Linked DNA regions of Mytilus edulis. The protein of the gene in region 1 purifies or fractionates together with the protein of each later gene. This does not show direct contact. Links are inferred from orthologs where the notes say so. Each region holds a gene or a part of one and is shown on either strand. Other genes may lie near its edges.

Region 1 (11,675 bases):
TATGAGCATCCTACAAAAAAAAATAGAATTAAATATGGATGGTCTAATTTTCCCAAAAACACAAAATCAAGACATCTAGAATATTTATCGAGAAGAGACTCTTGAGGAATATATATAAGATCCATTTTGTTACATCTCGTGATCAATTTTATTTGGCAATCACCAATGACAGTCAGCAGGGTTTAAGAACATCAGTTGTTCGACCTGTTAGTCAAATGCGTCTATTTTAAATATACTTTTTCACTTCTTTGGTCTTTTGGATAATGTTGTTTGTGCTGTATTTAGACCCTTCTACAACGAAATTTGTTTTACATGCACATGTGTATAAAAATTGCGGTTTTTATCCAACGCAATCATAGGTTTGAACGGAGTTTTCAATTTAGACTTGTATATATATACAACTCGTCTAAACATCAACCCAGCAATGCTAGATCTGTAAATTTGCTTTCGCAATTTTTTTGTTCTTCCCTCGCCGGGATTTGAACCCATGCTACTGAGATATCGTGACACTAAATCACCTGCACTGCAGCCGTTCCACTAGACCACACGACCACCTGGGCTTCTATATATATATATATATATATAACTCGTCTAAACATCAACCCAACAATGTTAGATCTTTAGATTTGCTTGCGCAAATTTTCTGTTCTTCCCTCGCCGGGATTTGAACCCATGCTTCTGAGATATCGAGACACCAAATCACCTGCACTGTATCCGGCGCACTAGACCTAACAACCACCTGGGCTTCATAAATATTGAAGCCTTCAGGTGCCTGGTGTTACCTTTCCTCGTCGGTTTTAATCTAGTGTCGTAATACAGTACATGATGATGATATATAAGGCATGAAGATGTTATTGTTACAGATCAGCTAAATTATCTATGATAAAGGATCCTACAAATTAACGTAAGATACAGTCACAGAAATAATTATATTTATAAGTACGTCTGAACCAGTGTCAACTCTACAACAGATATATACATGTATATATATATATATGATAATGATAATGTAACAACATAGTTTTGATAGCATATTAAAACATATATATATCATTAATCAAATTAAATACTATTCAATAAGTTGTGTTTATCTTGTAACCTTGAACATGTGAACACTATACATTTGTTTACTTATCAATGACTCTCATTTTAGTATGAGAAAAGAATATAAGGCTTTTTTATTTTTTATAAGTTGGTTTACGGATCTGTCGACCTGATTTTGTCTAAAAGTGAAATAAAATAAAAATTTTAGATTTCATGTTGTTTTTATTCCGCCGACCTGAATTTTCGAGTGCAGTAAAAAAATAATCTAAGGAGTTTCAAAAAGTTTTGTTTTGTGTTAAATTCTGTTGTTGTCATGAACGACGCATTCCAAATAAAACTTTCAAATGATGCAGACTAATTACATAAACGTGTGTTTCACTCCCCTGAAACCTACGTGCCATTGAATAAAACATTGTTCTCAATCTTTGATATCCCCCCTTCATGCCCTTATATCCTTACAGACACTCTCAGTCTCAGATCAATATTTACAATGCTTTTTACGAAAAAAATTATAAATAAGAAGTGACATTTTCCCCAACGAATATTATAATATAAACCATCGGAATAGTTTACCCGAAAAAGTTGTGTCTGCAAAGATCGTTGATAACTTTAAAATACAATTTGATCATCATTGGGAAGATGTTATGTACCAGTTCTAGTGATAAATTGGGGACTATTATTTTTATTACAAATTTTTATTGTTTCTTATTATGAGTGCTTTGGCATTAGGAAGAAATAAGATACCAGTTCTAGTGATGAATTTGGACTTCTTTAAATATTAGCTTTTTTAAAATTTTAATTATTAGTCAACCAAAAGTGACCAATAAAATGCAGGATTATTATGAGTTTAGTTTTTAGATCAAGTACAAATTTGGGTGGGCTTAAAAAGGATTGATTTTTTTTACCTCCTCCGACCCTAACTTTTCACAGCAGTTGTCTGTATTAAAACCAAGTAATAAAAAAAGAGGTTTAAACGAAGTAACTTATCCAGGGGAATACTTTAACCTACAAAATTTCAGAAATTCAGGAAACAGCTGAATATTAAATTTTCCTGTTTTTAAAACAAAATCAGTATATATTTTTGGGGCAAATGAAATTTTCAAAATTTCGCACATGTGTAATGTACCTATCAAATTACAAGCTGTTAAATTAATGAACCCCAAATATATATATAACAAATAAATGGCTTTAAAAAGTTGATTTGCAATTAATGGAGATTAAAAGAAACTAGATATCATTGAGATGGGAGCCATCTCTGTGGGCCCCGCTGTGAATAATGTGCATTAAAAAATTGTATCTTTACCATAGGACATGGGTTTGTCAACTGAAATCAAAGTTTTTGACCTTGACCTTTGACCTAGGAAGTTGTAAATAAATTATGACACACCCTTTGGTGTTGGTTTATATACATGTCAAGTATAAACTTTGAAATGATAACGGTTCTCAAGATATAGAGCGGACACGATCTTTACCATAGGACATGGGGTTGTCAACTGAAACCAAAGTTTTTGACTTTTAACTTTGCCCTAGACAGTCGTTCATAAATTATGACACACCCTCTGTTGTTGGTTCATATACATGTCAAGTATAAACTTTGAAATCATAACGGCTCTCAAGATATAGAGCGAACACGATCTTCACCACAGGACACAGGGTTGTCAACTGAAACCAAAGTTTTTTTACCTTGACCTTTGACCTAGGAAGTTGTACATACATCATGACACGCCCTCTGGTGGTGGTTAATAAAGATGTAAAGTATAAAGTATGAAATCATAATGGTTCTCGAGATTCGGACGGACGGACGGACGGACAGACTGATCACTATAGGGCGACCCGCCTTTGACCTAGGAAGTTGTATATACATCATGACACGCCCTCTGGTGGTGGTTAATAAACATGTAAAGTATAAAGTATGAAATCATAATGGTTCTCTAAATATGGAGCGGACACAAAGTTAAAGTGTTACGGACGGACAGACTGATAACTATAGGGCGAACCGCCTTTGACCTAGGAAGTTGTACATACATCATGACACGCCCTCTGGTGGTGGTTAATAAAGATGTAAAGTATAAAGTATGAAATCATAATGGTTCTCGAGATTCGGACGGACGGACGGACGGACAGACTGATCACTATAGGGCGACCCGCCTTTGACCTAGGAAGTTGTATATACATCATGACACGCCCTCTGGTGGTGGTTAATAAACATGTAAAGTATAAAGAATGAAATCATAATGGTTCTCTAGATTCGGACGGACGGACGGACAGACTGATCACTATAGGGCGACCCGCCTGAAGGCGGGGCCCTAATAATCCCACAATTAAAAGATTGTGGTACATCCTGTGTATCCATGTACCTTTCACTTAAAAAAAACCCAATAAACAATTATTATAGTGGAAAAAAATTCACAACATAATTTAATTTCAAGAAACCTTGATGAATATCAACTATAAGAATTTATGAAATTTGTGTCAAAAATTAAGAAACCCCCTTCTTGACAGTTCTACAAATATCTGGTAATTCCGTGCATTAGCTAATTTTAAATGCCAATAAAGATTGAAACCCAACAGACTGTCAAGGATGTTGAGCAAACTTATTTCATTTAAAAAAAAATTGATTACAAAACACTAATTTTATCCAGGGTATGATGTAATTTTTTATAATAGAAAATGGCTAAATATATGCAAGCCTCAAATCTATGTCCGGCCTCAAATCTATGTCCTATTTAATATTGTGTCAGACGTTCCAAATCTATGTCCTGTATAATTTCACATTTATGTCCTTTATTTACTCTATGGCCATTTTTGGCTCAAATCTATGTCCTTTCATTGACGTAGGACATAGCAAAACATCATCAAGTATATGACGAAACTGCATAACAGGATTGATGGCGGAGCAGGACGCTATACCAAATGAGGGATACATTATATTTAATAAGCATAAAAAAAAGGTATTTCAAAGGATCTAAATCCAGAAGCGTTTTGGGCAGATAGGCCTTACATTGTTCACAGTGTGATCACTTAAAAGGTAGGTCAGTAGTGGTTTTTCTTTTTGCGATTTATGAATGGAATGTGAAAAACTATATCTCGAGTGAATGCGATTGATAGTTTAATTATTTTTACCGATAACCGCTACGAATTTCAGCTGACGGCGACTATACACGAAATCCCCATATTATAGATAATTTCCGTATATATTTCACATTTCATTTCCCAATCCTATAGCATTTTACTAGAAAACCAGATGTGGGTACGCGCAGCCAAGACCGTCAATATGACTATTCGTACCCGCATGCGGGTACGCGCAGACACTGCCTAGTTAAAATGAAAGCAACTGACTTAATTAAACAATAAATGGACTGTTATGTAGCTTTTTAAAGTGTATTTGACAACATTTCTTAAGACATTATCATGGATTTTTTTTTATTGTTTTCTTCAATGGAAGTCGTTCAAGCAAAACTAAGAAATTTAGACTTTTAAGGGTCATAATATTTTTGATCATGATGATGTTGTTTTCACCTCTTGCGCCATTCGCCAACCCTGCATTGAAGATGCCCCATATTTGAAACCTTGACATGTTTCGTCACTTGAAATTTTTTCAGTGTTTGGCGTCGACAAATAGACACCCATAATGTCGCTAAATTAGTCAATATCTTTGGTAAACATTCCAGATTTCCACATGTGTATTTCGCGGTTAGTTCCCCATTGGTCATGTGATCAAATAACAAGTCCGACGAAAATATTATATGTTAAACAAGAGGTGGAAATTGGATTACTTAAAATGAATCCATTGTCATGAACAATATTGATAAGTTTTTACCTTTTTATATAACCTGGAGGGCGCGACTCTTTCATTTCTGTTTATTTTTATTCTAATATTTGCTGCTGAAGTTGTGATCTATCCAATTTCCGTCTGCTCCGAAGGTAAATAAATTTTTCGTGAATGATCAGAAATTTTGTTCATATAAGAACTTTGACATGGGAGATGTAGACCAGGAACAACCAGAAAAAAATGACAGTGCTGACGAGTCTGAAGATGAAGGGGAAGTCTTAGAATATTCGCCATGTGGCAGATGGCAGAAAAGAAGAGAAGAAGTAAGAAAATAATCAAATTTACTTCACTATCTTCATAATTTCATTTTGGAGGAGTGCCTACATTGGCAGAATTTATATTGATACAGATTGAAAACTTTTTCTATGAAATATCACTCACTTAAATGTATTACAAGATTACTAACATTTGGGAAAAGGAATACAATAGTCATAGCAGTTGTACTACATCATGTACATGTATATGGACCATAATTTGCTATTGGGCTCGTTTCCTATAACGATAGAAAAGTGATAAAAATGTGTATTACTGTAAGAAAAGTTGTAACTACATCTAAAGAAGCCTTTATTTTTATCAACATACAAGTGTATGCTACTCTTCCCTAGAAAAAAAATTGAAATTAACAAATTTCAAAGATTATACGACAGTATTTTTGTGTCGTTTCTCGCGTTACTTTTCGCTTCCGAAGTGCATAACGCTGACTGATTTATAACCGGCAAATTCGTAACTTTTGCTTTCAAATAATAAAGAACATCGACCAATTAGAATAGTCAGAAGAAAATGCCGAGAACTATAAGTATTTCTGTAGCAGGTGTAAGAACACTAGCGTTACTTTGGTTTCCAATTTCGTAACGCAAATTTTAGATGATGTAATCTGCTTTGTTGTAATAGAATTCTTTATAACAATATGCAAATATGAACTCTCGCGAGATGTTCAAACAGGTAAATCAGAGATGATTTACATTCTAGTTTTGTTCTTCGTAATAATTAAGTTAGAAAATGACGTTATCGTTATGCGTTACATTTCAAACGAAACTGAAGTCCAGTTATTTCCTTTTTTTTTATTAAAATTGTTTTTGTCGTTAAGTTCTAATCATTTCCGGTCATACGTGAAACATGTGACTAACATGTGATCACGCCCTTGCGGCCAGATGTATGAAATACTAGGTATAAACATTGTTTTTGTTTCCAACGGGATGTTAGCAAACATAATCTGTAGACTTGTTTCGTCTTGTTTAAAAAAGGAAAATACAATTTTCAAAGAGATTGCACCGGGGGTCTATTGTTTTTCCTATGTGCATAATGTTACATACGATCTTGTGTGAAAATAAATGCCCAATGACTTGACAAAATCGATTTCAGATTTGACAGACGTTATGACACACTTTGTTTCCTGATAACGATGTAAAGGGTCCTTTGAAAATTCAATCGACATTACGTCTCTTATCATTGTGCCGATGCTCGTTGGCTTGATTTTGCTTCAGCAGTAAATATTACTGGATATTTTAGGTGAATAAAGATAACTTAATAAAAAATACATGTTAATATACCGTTACACTTGGAGTGTACAAAGTTGCTATCTTTGTCACAATTTTTAATTATTTTTTTTTATTCATGTTCTGCAAACACTTTTCAGAAACGCAATAAACTTGTCAAAGGAGAAGTAAACTTTTCCATGCATGACTTGAAAGGAAGTAATTTATTGATTTTAGCCCACTAAAGTAGGTTAAAATGTGGAAACCATGTAGATGGTGTACAGGTCACAAATATCACATGGTGCCTATTTTAAAGATTTTAATTCCAAGTTAAAAGTTTTTTTCTTTACTGGATTTAAAGAATTTTACATTGCCAATGATTTGGAATAAATTGTATATAACTGGAATTTCAAAACCAAATATAAATACATTTTTTTGGCTAAAACATCAAGATACAACGATTATGGTATCCTGTATCAATGAAGAAAATATGGAAATTTCTGAATAAATTGTTAATGAATGGCTATTATCTATTTTGAATTTATTGAACCATAAAACTAATTTTTGACTCTTCACATTGAATAATCCGCGAAGCGGATTATGTAAAATGTGAAGAGTCAAAAATTAGTTTTATGGTTCAATAAAATCAAAATAAATTATTGCCATTCATTATAAATAAATTTCTATCAAAAATAAGGCTCAAGGAACATTTTATATTATTTATATTAACAATAACAATTAACGTACACACATGTTGGCGTATGAATACACAACGTCAGAGTGGGCGTGTCGCCATCAAAATTGACAACATTGAAAATAAAACTAATAATTTTAACCAATCAGAAGACAGTAAATACACCAAATTTATTTATTACTAATTGTTTTCAAAACAAGCACATATTTAGGAGTTTTATAATACTGTTACATTTAAGATGGATTTTAAGAAAAAGTATACTGTTCAGACTATTTTAAGCAGATTTTGCAATAAAATAAAACTAAAAAAATGCTTTCGGTTTCTTATGGTTTCCTGTCGCGTTTAAAAAAAACATTGAAAATAAATTTTAAATATTAACATGAAGCAAGTAACACTAGTAATGGTGTTCATTTATGTCTTTTGAAATATATTGTACAAAATAAAGAAAATATAGATTGGTTTTCTGTTTGGTTTCCTGTCATGTAAACGGTGAATCAAAATGTATTATTTTTTTCTTGAAAAACTCAATTGTTCCATTAATACTATTCTAACACCAACACAACCCACAGAATAAAAGTTAAAGTTTTAGAACTTATAAAAAAGGATACAAAAAGAAACCAAAGGCCGAATACCAAATTATGGTCCATATATGGTATAGCCGAGGCTATAGCAATACACTTACCAAAACTCCATTATAAAATAATTTATTAAACACAAAAACATAAAAACATAAGGGTGCGAAATAGAATTTAAGTGCCAAAGTGATAAGGGCCTTAAAGGGGTGAATATGAATGGGCGTGAACATGTTTTTGATCTTCAATCTTCAATCTTTGTCGTGATGACAGAGTAATCTCTCTTGTGAATTATCCTCTCTTGTAAAATTATTATCACTAGTGTAGTTTCTCCTTTGTACTTAGATATTGTAGGTGGCGCTTTAAAAATATTATAGACTTATATAAATGTATCAAGTGAAAAAAAAAGAAAAAAATGGTTAATGAGGTTATCGAAATGGCATGAAAAATTAAAAAATATTAAAAATTAAAAGAAATTTGTATTAAATTATCCACTAAAACGGTTTGTTTCCTCTATGTACTCCGCTAATAGTTGATTGATACTTTCTGCATTTGGCAAATTGATTGTTTATAATAAATTGTCTAAATCTGTTGGAATGTTTTTGGCGAATGGACCTAGATTCTAGTATTGTATTATTATGGTGACTGTAAAATTTAATTAAGATTAAAATCATAAGATAGACTGCAAGTCTAATCAGTGCCAGGGTAATTCAACACTTAATGTGCATTCTGTACCTGTATGAATACCTTGCCAATACCAATACTGGCTTTAATTCAACGGTTTGAGAATCTGCCACCGATTTATTGGCGTGAGAGCAGATTTGAAGCTCTCTGTTCTTGATGAGTGCACTTCAGTGTTGTCTAGCTGATTCCACACGATCACTGTCTTTACAAAGAATGAGTTTGAATATTGTGGTGTTTTGCTTTGTGGAATGTCAAAACACTTAGAGTGATTCTTTACTTGCTATCCACAATATTTGTTGCGTGGTATTCTTCAAAAGTTATAGTCCTCAGCTGTTTTATTTGAGGATAACATGCACCTATACTGTGGAAATTGCAATGTTTAATAAACAGTCTTGTGTATACATGATGTACATAGTACATTACAGATAAGGTTTTTACGAATTGCTAGGAACAAACTGTGGTGATACAATGAAGTTACTGTGTATATGTTAAAGGGGCACTAACTGTCAAATTCATTGTAACCGATTTGACTCAAATTCTCATATTTGGTTTATAACCATGTAAAACATTTATCCAAACTATCAAAAGTCTAAAATAAACAGTTTACAGAGCATGGGGTAGATAATATATAGGTTCGTTTCGTGTGTATTTTAGTCCAGACACCATCTAATTAACTATCGATTTGACCTCAGATGACCAAATAAGCGATGTAAACAAAAATAAAGATACGAATAGATTAAACCAACACGTGCAATTGGATTTTTATAGGTCTGTTTGATTTCATTTTATAGATTAAAAATAGATGTTTCTCATTGTTTTTAATCATATAAGAATGATTTTATGTGCATCGAATTAGTAATCAAATGATTTACTGTAGTTTCATTTTCATTGTTGACATTCTTTTTCTTTAAATAACCAGTACACGTACAATGCATGCGTTGTCAATCTCTAGCTAGGGGTTAACTTGAAGTTCACATGAATACCGGTTAGAATGATGATGACATTTTCACTTGCAAGTGAATCAGTCAAAAATTATGTTTAATCGCTTATTTCAACAAAATTAAAGAAAATTGATTGCTAAAAGCAAATTATTATTTCATTATTCTAATTCGATTAATGATTGATCTAAAAAAAATCATACTTTATTTTTTTATATATATCATAGCTAGTGCCCCTTTAATGCTTAAATGATTTTAAAAAAGATGTTTTAATTTAAACACACTATAAAATATTTTTGTAGGTAGAGCAGCGTGATGTTCCAGGTATTGATTATGCCTTTCTTGCTATGGACACAGAAGAAGGTGTCGAAGTGGTATGGAATGAAGTGCAGTTTTCAGAAAACAGAAATTTGAAGGCTCAAGAGGTACTTCATTATAGATACATGTTTATGAATCCAGCATTCATAATTATATATGTGTTACTACATTTGTAGAAACTATGTTGGGTTGGCACACATTCAGAAGGTCTAGCTCAAGTATGAACAGTATTTATATTTTATATTTTGATATGTATATATAGTATCAAGTGTACCATAGTTCTATTGCTACATACTGAATCTGTCATAAATTTATTGAAAAAATCTTTATATATATATATATATCAATCCTTGTTTAGCAATGCAATTGAATGTATCCTTAGGGAGTTTTATGTTTCCAATTATATCTCTGACCTACATTTTATGTTTCAAAGAAATATTAAGTTTTACACCAGAGTTCAAATCTAATATATACATATTATATGATAATGAAGTGACCTATGATCATATAACTTTCTGAAAAGAAAGCCATTATGACATAATTTTTAAGCTTCATCTCTAGTACATACTGTTTGTGACAAGAAAAACTGAATTAAGCTAAAATATAGTTGCATCTTTCCTCTATGACCTGACAAGTTATATTTATAGATCGGTATGTTTACAATTTTGAAGATTGATTGCTTATTAGCCTAAGTCAAATGTATATAATGAGAATAAGAGTGTCAGGTACAAGGGTCTGGAAACGGTCATATATGCCAGTCTTGACCTAAACTGAAAGTATTTTGTCCTAAATGAGTAATTGGGATTTAGGACAAATTTTATTTTTTTACAGAAACAATTTCGGTCATTTAATGTCATTTCGTTGAGATCGAGTTTCTAACATTGTCTAAATCACCATTTTGAACTTATTTTTTGTTTATTATCCTTTTCCTGTTATAAAACTGCCACTCTAGTAAAGTGTTATAATCCTGAGGGCCCTCCTAATAACTATAGTAATGCCTCGTGGAAATATTGGCTAATGATCGCTAATCTCTTTACCTGTGTTTTTAATTAAATTTTCTATTGATCACAAGCTCAGAACTAATATTTTAAAGAAATTAAAAGTTCATAACAACTGTCTGCAATATTTAATTACTTTTCTCACCTTAGACATTGTCAATTCTGATTTAAAATTAAATTAAAATTAAATTAATTTACGTAGAACAAAATATTGTTTCACTACAAACACACGTGCTTGAAATGCTCCTCCGAAAATTAGACACTAAATCGTAAATTCAAAATGATTTCATGCTAAATTAAAAAAGTCCAACTATTATAATTAATATTCAAACACTATTAAAGGTAAAACAGTTAAAAAGCCAACGATTTCCTGTGAATTTGATAAACAAAACTAATCCCGGAAATGAGTCTGGAATTGGTCGTTTTACTATTGTCGTAAAACATCCGGTTATAATTTTGTCTTCAAAATGGAAAGAAACGTAAGCGAAGTTTGAGAAATTTATCGTTTTGAGTCATTAAAATCATTTCATTTTTAAACTGTTGCCTTCCTTTTATTGCTCAAGATCGATTTTAAGGAAAATGGTAGGGAAATTTCTGAAGTAAATGCGATGCAACAGTTAAACAAGTTTGTTGATGCTACACGTATCACTGTATGAGCATACACACAATCTTTGTTTGAAAAAGGGCACCAACTTTTAAGTTATCCGAAAATGACCGAAATTAGGTGAAAAAATTTCCGGATCCTTGGTCAGGTAATTATAATATATTAATACAAATAGTTTAAGTAAATTAAAGGATTAAAATGAATACATATCTGTAAAAGCAATAAAATTAACTAATAATGTAACTATCATTGCAGGACAAAATAAGACAGGTGTTTGATAACTTAATCCAGTTAGACCATCCAAATATAGTCAAATTCCACAAGTACTGGACAGACACAAAAGATGGAAAATCAAGAGTAAGTAAATATTAAAGTTACATTTAGGCCAGGGTTTTTTAATTTGTTGGTTTACGGATTTTCCCCATGAAAAAATCGGGTCGGTCGGTCAAGGAAAAAAAGAAAAAAAAATAATTTTCAAGACAGAAAAATATGCAAAATATATATATATTTCACCTT
Region 2 (11,380 bases), on another chromosome or scaffold:
TGAAATGAGTGTAAATGATCGACATAATAGGACAAAATTGTAATGAATTAAATATTTCATTACAAACATCATGGATAATCTACAGAATTCAATATTTCACAAGGAGCAATCATGGAACGAAGGAAAAATTGCGTGAAGTTCCCCGGGACAATGGTTAGCAACGTCCGGGGATATGGGTTAGCAACACCCAGGGGCTATGGGTTTTGTAACGACGTGCGTTAACCAATCAAAATCCTAGATATATACTAAGCCGGGGATAAATCGTCCATACCGCCACATCGTCCATGGGACGTATCGGCCATACCTTGTGAGACGTATCGTCCACACTTTAATTTTTTGTTATTGAGGTTATAACATAAAGTATAATAATAAAATAAGTATGCATTCATAGTAATAACATAAATATGATGTGATATAAAGGCATCTTATAATAATAATAATAATAATAATAAATTCTTTATTTAAAGAGGGTAACTCAATTAGAAATAGTCTAATTTTCATTGAGGCCCTCAAACAAAATACATGCATACAGTTAACATTCATACATTCATACATTAATTTACAATATATATTACTAGTATATACACAATTCAATCATTGAAATATACAAAGGGTAATAAATGACAATATTTGATATAGTTTTGTTAGAGGAAAACAAATTAGTTGACTTGCATATAATTTTCAAGAAATATATTTTATATGAAGTTGAAACTATAGGAGTTGACTGCCGCTGTCGATGACGATATATATAAATACAAATTACAAGCACATGTTACCGATCTTTTTATTATATCTGTAAAAGGTATATTATTCTAAACAAATCTGTGATGATTTTATAGTCTACTTTTACGAGTCAAAAGATTTGTAGAGAAAATCAGTCTAAGTGAAATTTCAAACAGTACTCAGTGTAAAGGTTAACTCTACGGAAGGCAATTCGAGTTATATTTGTCCTGATCATCATATATATAGTTTAATAATTCTGTGTTTTTCTTCTTTCTTATAGTTTAGAGTCATTCCTAATAACATGATAAATTATGGTTTCAGGAATGTTCGTATTGCTTTGTTCATTGTCACGGTTGAATACTGTTTTTTTGACGATTTAGATGTTCCCCTTTTTGTGCATTTGTTGATGGAGACATGTATTATGGACTGTCTGAAGCTTATGGACAATCATACCAATATAGTATAAGAAACACAAAAAGATAATATTTTCGTTTAATATATTTTATTTATTCATTCAGTCATACAGACAAACAAATATACAACACACATATAAACCATACAGCATACACCTTCACGTTAATAATTGTAAATTTGTTTGATAATTGGTTGGCAATCACGTAAACTAATTAAAGGATTAACACCTCCGAAATTTGTAAACTGAATTTGCATTAAACAGATCAGTACTAGAGATACGCGTCCAATGATTGGATTAATATGATTTATGATGGGTTTTTGTATATGTAATCATACATAATCATAAATAACGGTCTGATCCCTTTGGCATAACAGTACTTATTCAAAGTAATAGTCAACCTCAGGAAATGAAAAAAATCTTCCCAATTTAGCATTTGCAGGAGAAATACTGATATCGGTAACAGGATAGACAAAAAGGTAACCCTTGAGGCAAGTGAGGCAATTGCCTCACTAAAATTTCGACACTGATTATTTTTTTTTTATACATATATATAAATACTAGAACACACCCGCGAAATCGCGGGGAAATAGAGCGTATGTAAACTGTAAAAAAAATATACTGACTGGAGAATTTCAGGAGAGGTATCAAAATTCAAAGGTACTTAGGGACTGGGCACATTTTTTTGCCCTCCTCCTATTTTCCAAATACAGATTTTTATACCTTCTGTTTTTCTGTACTCTATGAACATGCATATATACTTTAATTACTCAATACAGAGAATTTCAGGAGAGGTATCAAAAGTCAAAGGTACTTATATACATATGGGGTGGGGGGGGGGGTGGGGGGCTGCCCCCCATTTCGTTGAAAAAAGATTGTAGATTATATGGGGAAACATGAGAGTAACCCCCCCCCCCCCTTATGTCAGTCAACGCCCCCCCCCCCCCCCCCCTCCCTTATGAAAAGTTCTGGATCCGCCACTGTAAACTAATTGATAGTAAATAGCAAATATTATTCATTTTCGTTTTCCTCCCAAAATAACCCAAACTGAAACACGTTAAGCAAGGATGATACATGCTAGATCTCAAAATGATAGCAGAAAGCAAATTCATATACTTTATTTCATAGTCTTTGTATGTTCGAAGTACAGAAAAACACAAACCGGAAGTCTAATCTGACTTAAAGTTTTGTCCAATGACGGGAAAATATCCGGACGCATTCTTTTTCGTTTTTTATCCCAAAATAACCCAAACTTAATGATCATAAGAATGGATGACAAATGCGACTATACATGTTACCTATAGGACACAGAGGCATGATGATTATTTTCTTGTGAAAGGAGGAGAAGCGACACCAAAAATGAGGTCTTCTCGTTTAATAGTATAGATAATAGTCATTTGTTGTTCTGTCTCAACCTTAATTGCTATAACTTGTCATCATTCCTTTTAAACTATTCTTCCTGGATATAACTCAGCATCTCAACGGGTGATGTTTCTCGGTAACATTAATCTAGTAACGATAATCATCATGGATCTTTAGTTAAAAACAGGCTCTTGCAGAAAAAGGAAAAGCGACACTGAAGGTAAAGAAGGAATAATTCTAGTAAACTAGTTTTTTTTTTGTGAACAGAGTCTGAGTATTGCATATAACTTCATTAGAACAATCCAAAAACGATAAGTAGACTGACAAATCAAGTAGTGGTCTTCGGAAAGGGGCAGTCCTGTCTGCGTATTCATTTCTCCGTTTCACCAACTTTTGACAAATCAAGTACTGGGCATCGCAAGGGGGCAGTGCTATCTGCGTATTCATTTCACGAACTTTAATCTTTCTCTTTACAGATAAATAAAATATAAATAATATGAAACATGAATGCATGGATTAGTTTTTATCCATGTTTCTTTAACCTTAAAAATTGAAAGAATATCCCATATTATTGAGGAATGGTAGAACCTTATTAAATTAATTAAACACAGGATTTGTCTTTACTTATTCGGGACTACGGAATTTCGTTTCTTTATATTCGGGGTTTCGGAATCGGACACCCCAACCCCTAACCCCTAAATTTATAGATTCTGGAACTAAAATACCACCAACTATTTCCAGAAATAATTTGAAATTACGGAACTACATGTAAACGTCAAAAACTCCATTCCAATTTCCCTGTACCCATATCATATATACTTACTCTATAGATAGAATCATATACATGTATGTTATCTCATTCTATCCCTAGTTTGTCTACTCTTTGTCAGCATAAAAGCGAGTTTAATATTTTGTAACTGCGACTGATGGTGCTTACAGGAAAGCTTAATTCCCTTTTGCAAACAAAAGCTGCTACCGAATTGCTGATGGAGAAGGAATTGGAAGAAGACATTGATCATTGTGTTGATGATAATGTGCTACTTTTAGGAACACAGACTGCCCTGAAACGACTGAAAACTTGGAAAAGAGCGAGAGATTGTGCGGTCTTGCCATGCTCCATGTTCATCGCGATAAGGATATCAGAAGACCAAATTATGATTCTAAAACGATTTGACTGAACCGGCCATAGAAAAATTTGACAAACTCTTCTGAATCTATGTTTGTTCTATGTTCTGGCAGCAGACTCAAATCAGTGATATTTGGATTATTATCTTACATATAAATTTACATAAAGTTGTTAAAAATTTGGTGTTAGTAAAAGTCTTAAAATATGAAAAATTTATATAAAAAGTGTCCAATTCAAAACATTATCAAACTCTCTAAAAATGCCTAGAATGCAGGATTTTGCACCATTCATTTCATACCCTCCTCACTAAAATAAGATGCCTAGTTACGGCCTCGGTAACAGGATAGAACTTTATATATAGTGATATATCATTAACGTACCAATGAAATACAGACAAAAGTAAACTAACATGTGAGGGATTTACTTGATGTTCGGTTTCTTTGCAAGAGAGAAAAAATGCCGAACAATATGAAATGCTATCTAAGACTTGCATTACTGGTGGTAATTTGTTTAAACCTTTGAAAACCAATTTTCCAAAGTTGAAATTAATAAATCGAAATCTGGAGTACAAAAAGACAAAGTATTGTCATCTGCACAGTTATATAAACTACCATTTTTAACAAAAAGAAAAATATCATTTATAAATATGTTAAACAACAATGGCCCTAGTATCGAACCATGTGGTACGCCTTTATGGATGTCAGTCCAACCACTCAGAACATGCCTTGCTTTTAATAGCTAATTGTCTATTGGCAATATTATATTCAACAGAGTTTTTGTTCGCTACACTGTTTCTAAAAGTACATAACATTCGCTTATGAACAACAGCTTCAATTGGGATCTGACCTAGTAACAATAGAGTACCAGTATTAGCAGTTCTTTCTGGTAGGTGCTGTATTTGTTTCATGAGTTTAATGAAATAAGTACTAAGGTTTTTAATATCTTTTGCTGACAGACAAATCACATCCAATCCATACAATAACCTTGGGATTACATAACAGTTAATGAGATGAAGAGACACTTTTGGATTCATACCATTAAGGCCATGGAGGCCTGCGCCCATTAGAGCATAGACAGTTTTGCGTGCAGTTTGAATTCTGTCGGGTACAACTTCTTTTGTGCCAGTTTTTGACCCATTATCTCGTTTACTACGTAATGTATGTTTGCACTCCGCTTGAACTCTGAGTCTCAGCTTGGGTGCTGTATTTTTATAGTGATCTCGAATTAATATATTATATTTCCTTTATAATTTCTTGACAAAAGCATAATTAATACTTGTGTTCATCAAAGGAGTAATAATAAGCAATTAACAACCTTCTTTCGGAGGATTTAACAAAATTAAACATGATAGATAATGTAAAAACAGTATAGTTTATTCAAAAGTTATAATAACCATCTATAAGTATCAAAATAATTCATATATAACATCTATAAAAAATAAAAATAAAAAACCATGGACGATACGTCTTTACAAAGTATGGCCGTTTTTGTCGTGTGGCCGTTTCATCTTTTCGGGGTATGACCGATACATCCTGTGGACGTCATGGCAGTATGGCTGTCACGTCCTGCATCGGTGGACACCCGTGTTAGGTCGAGGGAAGCACGTGCATCAATATTTACTGTACATCGGGCATGGGTTCTCAGTATGTCATGGGGTGCAGTTTAATTGTTTTTCGCTTTCATGAAGAACCCACCCAGACTTATATAGATCAAGCAATTGTATGTTCAAATATACAGTTCCTTTTTTCAATACATTTCTAACCGAATTGATGTAATTTTAAAATCTTAAATAAATCTTCTAAATGTTTATGGCCCTTGACCAAAGAAAATGTAATTCTTATGTAAAAACTGGGCTGTTATATTGGTGACTGTTTTGAATTAAGGAGATCAGGTATGAGTATTGACACTAAAAGTCAAGTTAATGAGGGGGATAGGACCTTTATCGGTACTCCGGGATCGGGTGTTTTTAAGCTCGGGATTTCGTGATTGACCCCTTCGGGATCCGGGAATTCTTTTTTTCGAATTTCGGGACCTCGGGATTTTGTGTTTTTAAGCCCGGGATTTCGGGATCTGGTGTTTTTAAGTCCGGGATTTCGGGATCAGGACCCTCCTACCCTCCCTCGTTAATGATTTGAGAATGAATATAATGTAAAAAAAAATCTTTTATTCACAATAAATATATGGTTTTTGGCTTGATTTTGACCAATGCTAATATACAGTTTCTACTAAATATGTATTTATATCATGTACTCTGTGACTTTTATTGTTGTACTGACGGTTACCAATTATAATCAATTGTATCTGATTTTATGCCCTTAATGGGCCCTGTTATTTGGGAAATAAAAATATTCCGTATTCTATTCTATAGATGCAGGAACATATATATTATGTTAGATATACTGTTCCCAGATAGATGTCAGATGAATATTGTATTCTCATGCAGGCCATGCAGACTCCGGTCGAATTAAGGGCATAAACAAAGTGACGTCAATATAGTTCAAGATTAAAAAATAACATTCAATAAAATCAAGTAATATGAATCATTTAATTGTATATTTATGTTCAATACTGTCTGAGAAAGCTGGGAACAGTTTGTTAACAACTTTATGTTCCTGGAGAAAATAATTCAGTATTGTTCCAACCCGAGATTTTTTTTTTGGAAACTTTAGAATCAAATAATTTGAAATACACAAGATGACTGATGGGTGCTCTTAGACAGGTTACAGGCAATTGATATCATTCGATTGAGGCAGGGACTTTCTATACTATAAGTCCCTGATTGGGGGAATGAAAAAAATTGGCGAAACTGCAAGCTTGCAAGTAGATAGTATTCATTTTTTGGCGGGAAAATGTTTTGGCCGAATCACATTTCTTGTCGGATACATAAAATCTATTTATTATTTTTGGTAGTTAAAGTCGAAATATACCTTTTATTGTTATTCTCATTGTATTTTGAAATTCAAACAATGTCAAGTGATTCCTTTTTTTTCGAGTTTTTTTACAGTCAACTGCAAAAATAAGAAAGGATGTGAAATAGTTCATTCTGAAATAAACCTTAATTTGGTTGGATACATTTTGCAAGAATTCTGCAAATAGTTCATTTTCGTCCAATGAAAACAAGCCTTTTAAAATACCTCGGCTGACTTCTGCCGGCAAACCTTCTCTTCGCCATCTTGGATTATCACGCTTCCCACATGGGAACTGGCTGACCGGCCAATTTAAAGAAATTTCAGGAACGAGCAGAATATATAAACACATTTTTACACTGTAGACATCAAGATGGACCTTGTTAGCATTTTAGAGAAAACAATTTCGCCTGGTAATTCACTTTTTTCCACATTCATTCATTCACCAGTTGACATTGTTCACATATTTTCTCGCGGACTGCATGGGATTCTGAATATATTTTAATGTCTTTTTATTTTGTCAACATTCACTTGTTGCTTATGAAAAGATCGGAGATGTTTATTTTTCTTAAAAGAATCCATCACATAACCTGAACTAGACTGATCAACGATAAAAAAAAAACGAACACCATACTTTGTGAAATGCCAAGTAGCAAAATTGTCCATTGTATCTATTTTGAATATCAGCAGTTGAAAATGATCAATAAGGTTAAGCTTTATTTGAAGATATATGGCTATTATACCTCAGAAACAGTTATCACTAACAAAATCACGATTTTGATTTTTAAATGAACTGTACTGGTTGACCTGTATGTGATCATGAAAGGTCATTAAGGTTTATGTGGACCCTATGGCTAAAATGGCCGTATTTTCACCTCAAAATTTACTCTGAGTACAGACAAACCTGTGCATCTGTAAAAAATTCCAGGCATAGCATGCCCTAGATAAATAAATTTCAAATTTGTTTTAGAAAAATAAAAACTTACCAGAATTTTGCCGTGCACTTTTTTCATTCCTCCAGAAGGTGCCAAAATAAACTAAGTTGGGAAACAGGTTTGAGAACTTCCCCACAGGTAATAATTGAAGTGAGCTGTATTGCTTGACATGGACATGAGATGGACAATAGATACCTAACAATAATTGGTCATTTAAAGTGTGTACCTGAGTGGACCATATCAAGGTAAACTCAACTGTTAATTTTATCATCTTCTGCAGGGACGAAAAAAAGTGAACGGCAAATTCCAGTTAAGTTGTGAATTTTCTAATTCATACAATGCATTTGAATTCTATTTATCTAGGGCATGCTATGCCTTAAAACTTTTTCAGATGCACAGGTTTGCCTGTACTCAAGAGTAAATTTTGAGGTGAAAATACAGCCATTTTAGCCATAGGGTCCACATGAACCTTAATCATTGTAACTTGAAGATATTTTATTTCTGAAGTTAAAATTCTTAGTAGAAAAAGCACCAATTAGAAGTAATATATTTTCAGATATAATATTTGTTGACATGTACGAAGACACCTGCACAACTTCAATTTTGGAGGCCACTGTCTTGTTTTCAGTTTTATTTATGTAAACTATGGTCGATTCATTTGAATAGTTGTGCAATGACGGCATATTACATATAATGAAAAATCCTGGTACTAAATTTCTCTGTTAGTATCTGATGACGATATTTATTTAGCCTATTGTAGCCAGTTCTGAATTCAGACATGATTCTCCTAATAGTTTGGTTTCGGGTAATCAAGTTGATGGGTCTTGCCTACAATAGGAACTTATTCGTGTAGTTGTCTCCCAGTTTCACTTCTAGTCCATCTATTTTGCCATTTTAGTTTGGTTGACATCTTTACTGTGCTTTTTACATCAGACGTGGTTATGAAGTTTTACTGGTCATTTAGATTTGAGGCCTCCTGTGCTGCATCTTTTGCTAACTGGTCCGCTATCTCATTCCCGGCTATATTAGCATGGCCTGGGATCCAAGATAGGGTAGTTTGTATACTGCCTCTCAGGATGGTCCCAATGCTTTCTTTCATGTCTGTAATAGTGTCTGTATAGTTCGATAACTTCCAGTTGAGAGTCAAGATGCCAACCGCTGTCTGGCTATCTGATATGATCTTTATTTCAGTGAACTGTTCTCTAAGTGTGTAAATGCAGTGTTCTAGGACCATAAGGATAGCTATGAGTTCCGCTAAGAGTATTGAACCTCTTCTAGCTACTGGTCTTTTTAGGCTAGTTCCTTGTTGGTTCTCAGTATATATAACTGCTCCTGCTCCACAAGGTCGTGGATTTCCCTGACAGGAGCCATCTGTAAATGCGATAGCTGTTGACTCGGAGTTTTCTCCCATAAGTTTTTGTACTACTTGTTTGCTTTGGGCAGTTTGCTCTGCAGTTCTGTTTTTAGAGCTTCCAAAACAACTCGCAGTAGCTTGGTGCTCTCATCAGCATAAAGTCTACTCCTGCCTTGTACAGGGATCTCCATGGATGGAAATTGAACGATGGAGGAACTTTCACCATTACAAACCGTGTCTACGCTGTACAGTGTAGCGCGATTGGAAGTATTTTATCCCTCCATACAAGGAATGGTGAACATGCTAATTCATTGCTTATGTAAATTATTTGAATTTTCATTATAGAATTAGAAGTATCAATATTTTCATTTATTGCCGTTTTTAACCATTCAAATGCCAAGTCTTCATGGACCCCCTTAGTCAAGAATGACCAAAAGCTGTCATGAAGGTCCCCATGTAGATTTCTTGTATTTTTGGTAATTGTTATGGGGGTTAAAAATCATATGATGTGGAGCTTATTTTTCATGGACACTGTTAAATTCAGAACCCATTACCGGTATGGCTGATTTGCAGCACCAACAAAACGATTCGTACGGGTTATTTAAAGGGTTAAAGAGATTTGTAAAGCAAACATTGACAAATGAAAAGGTTTTTTAATGACTTTATCTGGCAAATTGATGTTGTGCAACATGCATCTTTCGAGTCTGAATAGAAACCGGAAACGCGGATGTATCAATTTGATTGTAACATACGAAATGAATTTGGAATTACTATACGATATTTCTTTACAGGAAATATTTAAGTTTTTTACTTTTAAACTTTTAAAGAAATTCTAAATTATCGTTACAGCAGGACTCGAGTTATTTGCGATGAAATAATATTTACTGTTTTGCATCTTATTTTGTAATTCTTAAAAAAGGGGGGATACTGATTGCGTAAGTCAAAATAAAGCACGTGTTCGACTTGTTAAACTGTTTTCTTTGTAACTGGATTATTAATTTATTTATTTAATCTAAATTATCATAATCATTTGCTGAAACTTAGTTGATTAATTCGACAAATGGATCGTCTATCCTCAGATAGTATTTTGTCTGGTTTGTTGATCTACCTCTACAAGCTCAGGTACAAGTGATTCGCGATCTTGATCCGGATATCCCTCAGGCGTCAGAACTGTATTATAACATAAAAGGTCTAAGGGTTATTCATGCAATTACATGCATTTGATTATAATTGATAAAAAAAATGGCGTCTGGCTTTAAAAAACGATGAAGTTTTGAACGATGGCGCAAGACAATTTAACGATGGCGCGAGTCATTTGAACGATGGCGGGTCGCCATCATTAAACAGGCCATGGAGATCCCTGCTTGTAGGTAAAACTCTGGTTCTATCAGTTTTATGTCTACTTTTGTTGTTATTAGCATATCCATAGCCTGATTAATAGCCTTACCAAATGGAGATTCTTGGTGCTCATATGTATCAGTGTTGGTAAGATATTCCTCCAGCTGTTGTTTAATTGGTTCAGCTATATTTTTGGAATGATTTTTTGCTATTCTTGGACTGATATTTTTTCCATTTCAGAGATCGATTGGTTGCATATTCTTGGGCATTATTTAACAGGTTGGAGACATTCTCCATGAATATCAGAATGTGTGATTTTAATAAAATAAACTGTTCAGAAAACCTTTTTTTACCACATTTGGGGAATAGTTAATTGTCCCCCAACCTGCAGTGATATTGTTGTCTTTTTTCAAAACTACCTCTATCGTTTTTTATTGGGGGAAAATGCATATTTTTTATTGAAATTTTGAAATTTGTTTATTTTATTCTAAACACATCTCTGATATTTTGCTGACCTTTGCTGTCTTTTTTTGCACTGTTTTTTCATGTATATTTTGGTTGTCAAACAGACGCAATGATGGTACTTAATGCATTGAAAACCACATGTGTTACAAACACCATGATGATTCTGATCAGAAATCTGGATCTCAAAAGTGCTTTCTATTATCATAATAATGACATGAATACGATATTTACAAACATTACCCTAATGCCATCACTGTTTTGGGAAAATGTAAAACTTTTTGTGAGTAATTTTAAGCCATTTTTTTAGTTATTGGAAATTTTCTCTAGGGGAAAAAGCCGAATTTCGGCTGTAATTTGAGGCAAACAATATCACTGACCTGTTAAACCATTTTCAATTGAAATTTTTACATCTTCAGATAAAATTTTCCTTGTAAATCAAATGCTTATAATTAGATATATATCATGTATATAGAAAAACAAAATATATCCATCAATGACTCAAAATCAATACATCATCATGCACAACAAAAAGAGTCCAAAAAGTTTGCTGCTGTTTGTGATGTAAATGAATATAAGTCTGATCCAAGACACTTAGCTATAGACCTCAGGCAATTGACTAAAAAAAATTATAAACCTTAATAAAACACAAGATACTTAACTCTCGAAATTTTTCACTCAATTAAATCAAAATTGATGGGTTAAAAAAACATTTCTTGAATTCTTATAACTGGAGCTCTGTTATGTCATGTGTTCTGAATA

What was found.
Region 2: the proteins of protein phosphatase 1G-like (region 1) and importin subunit beta-1-like purify together in Homo sapiens (affinity purification with mass spectrometry; 3 studies listed by BioGRID and IntAct, with this or other methods). This does not show direct contact. The link is inferred for Mytilus edulis from reciprocal best matches to the Homo sapiens genes PPM1G and KPNB1.

What each region holds. Positions count from the first base shown.
Region 1 is NC_092344.1:110,067,965-110,079,639, forward strand, and holds the start of protein phosphatase 1G-like, read right to left. Parts: upstream 4,780-11,675; 5' UTR 4,675-4,779; coding exon 4,564-4,674; intron 11-4,563; coding exon 1-10. Other genes in the region: nuclear receptor-binding protein-like, read left to right, coding at 5,023-5,139, 9,542-9,664, 11,415-11,516.
Region 2 is NC_092357.1:50,290,889-50,302,268, forward strand, and holds the start of importin subunit beta-1-like, read left to right. Parts: upstream 1-6,766; 5' UTR 6,767-6,902; coding exon 6,903-6,942; intron 6,943-11,380.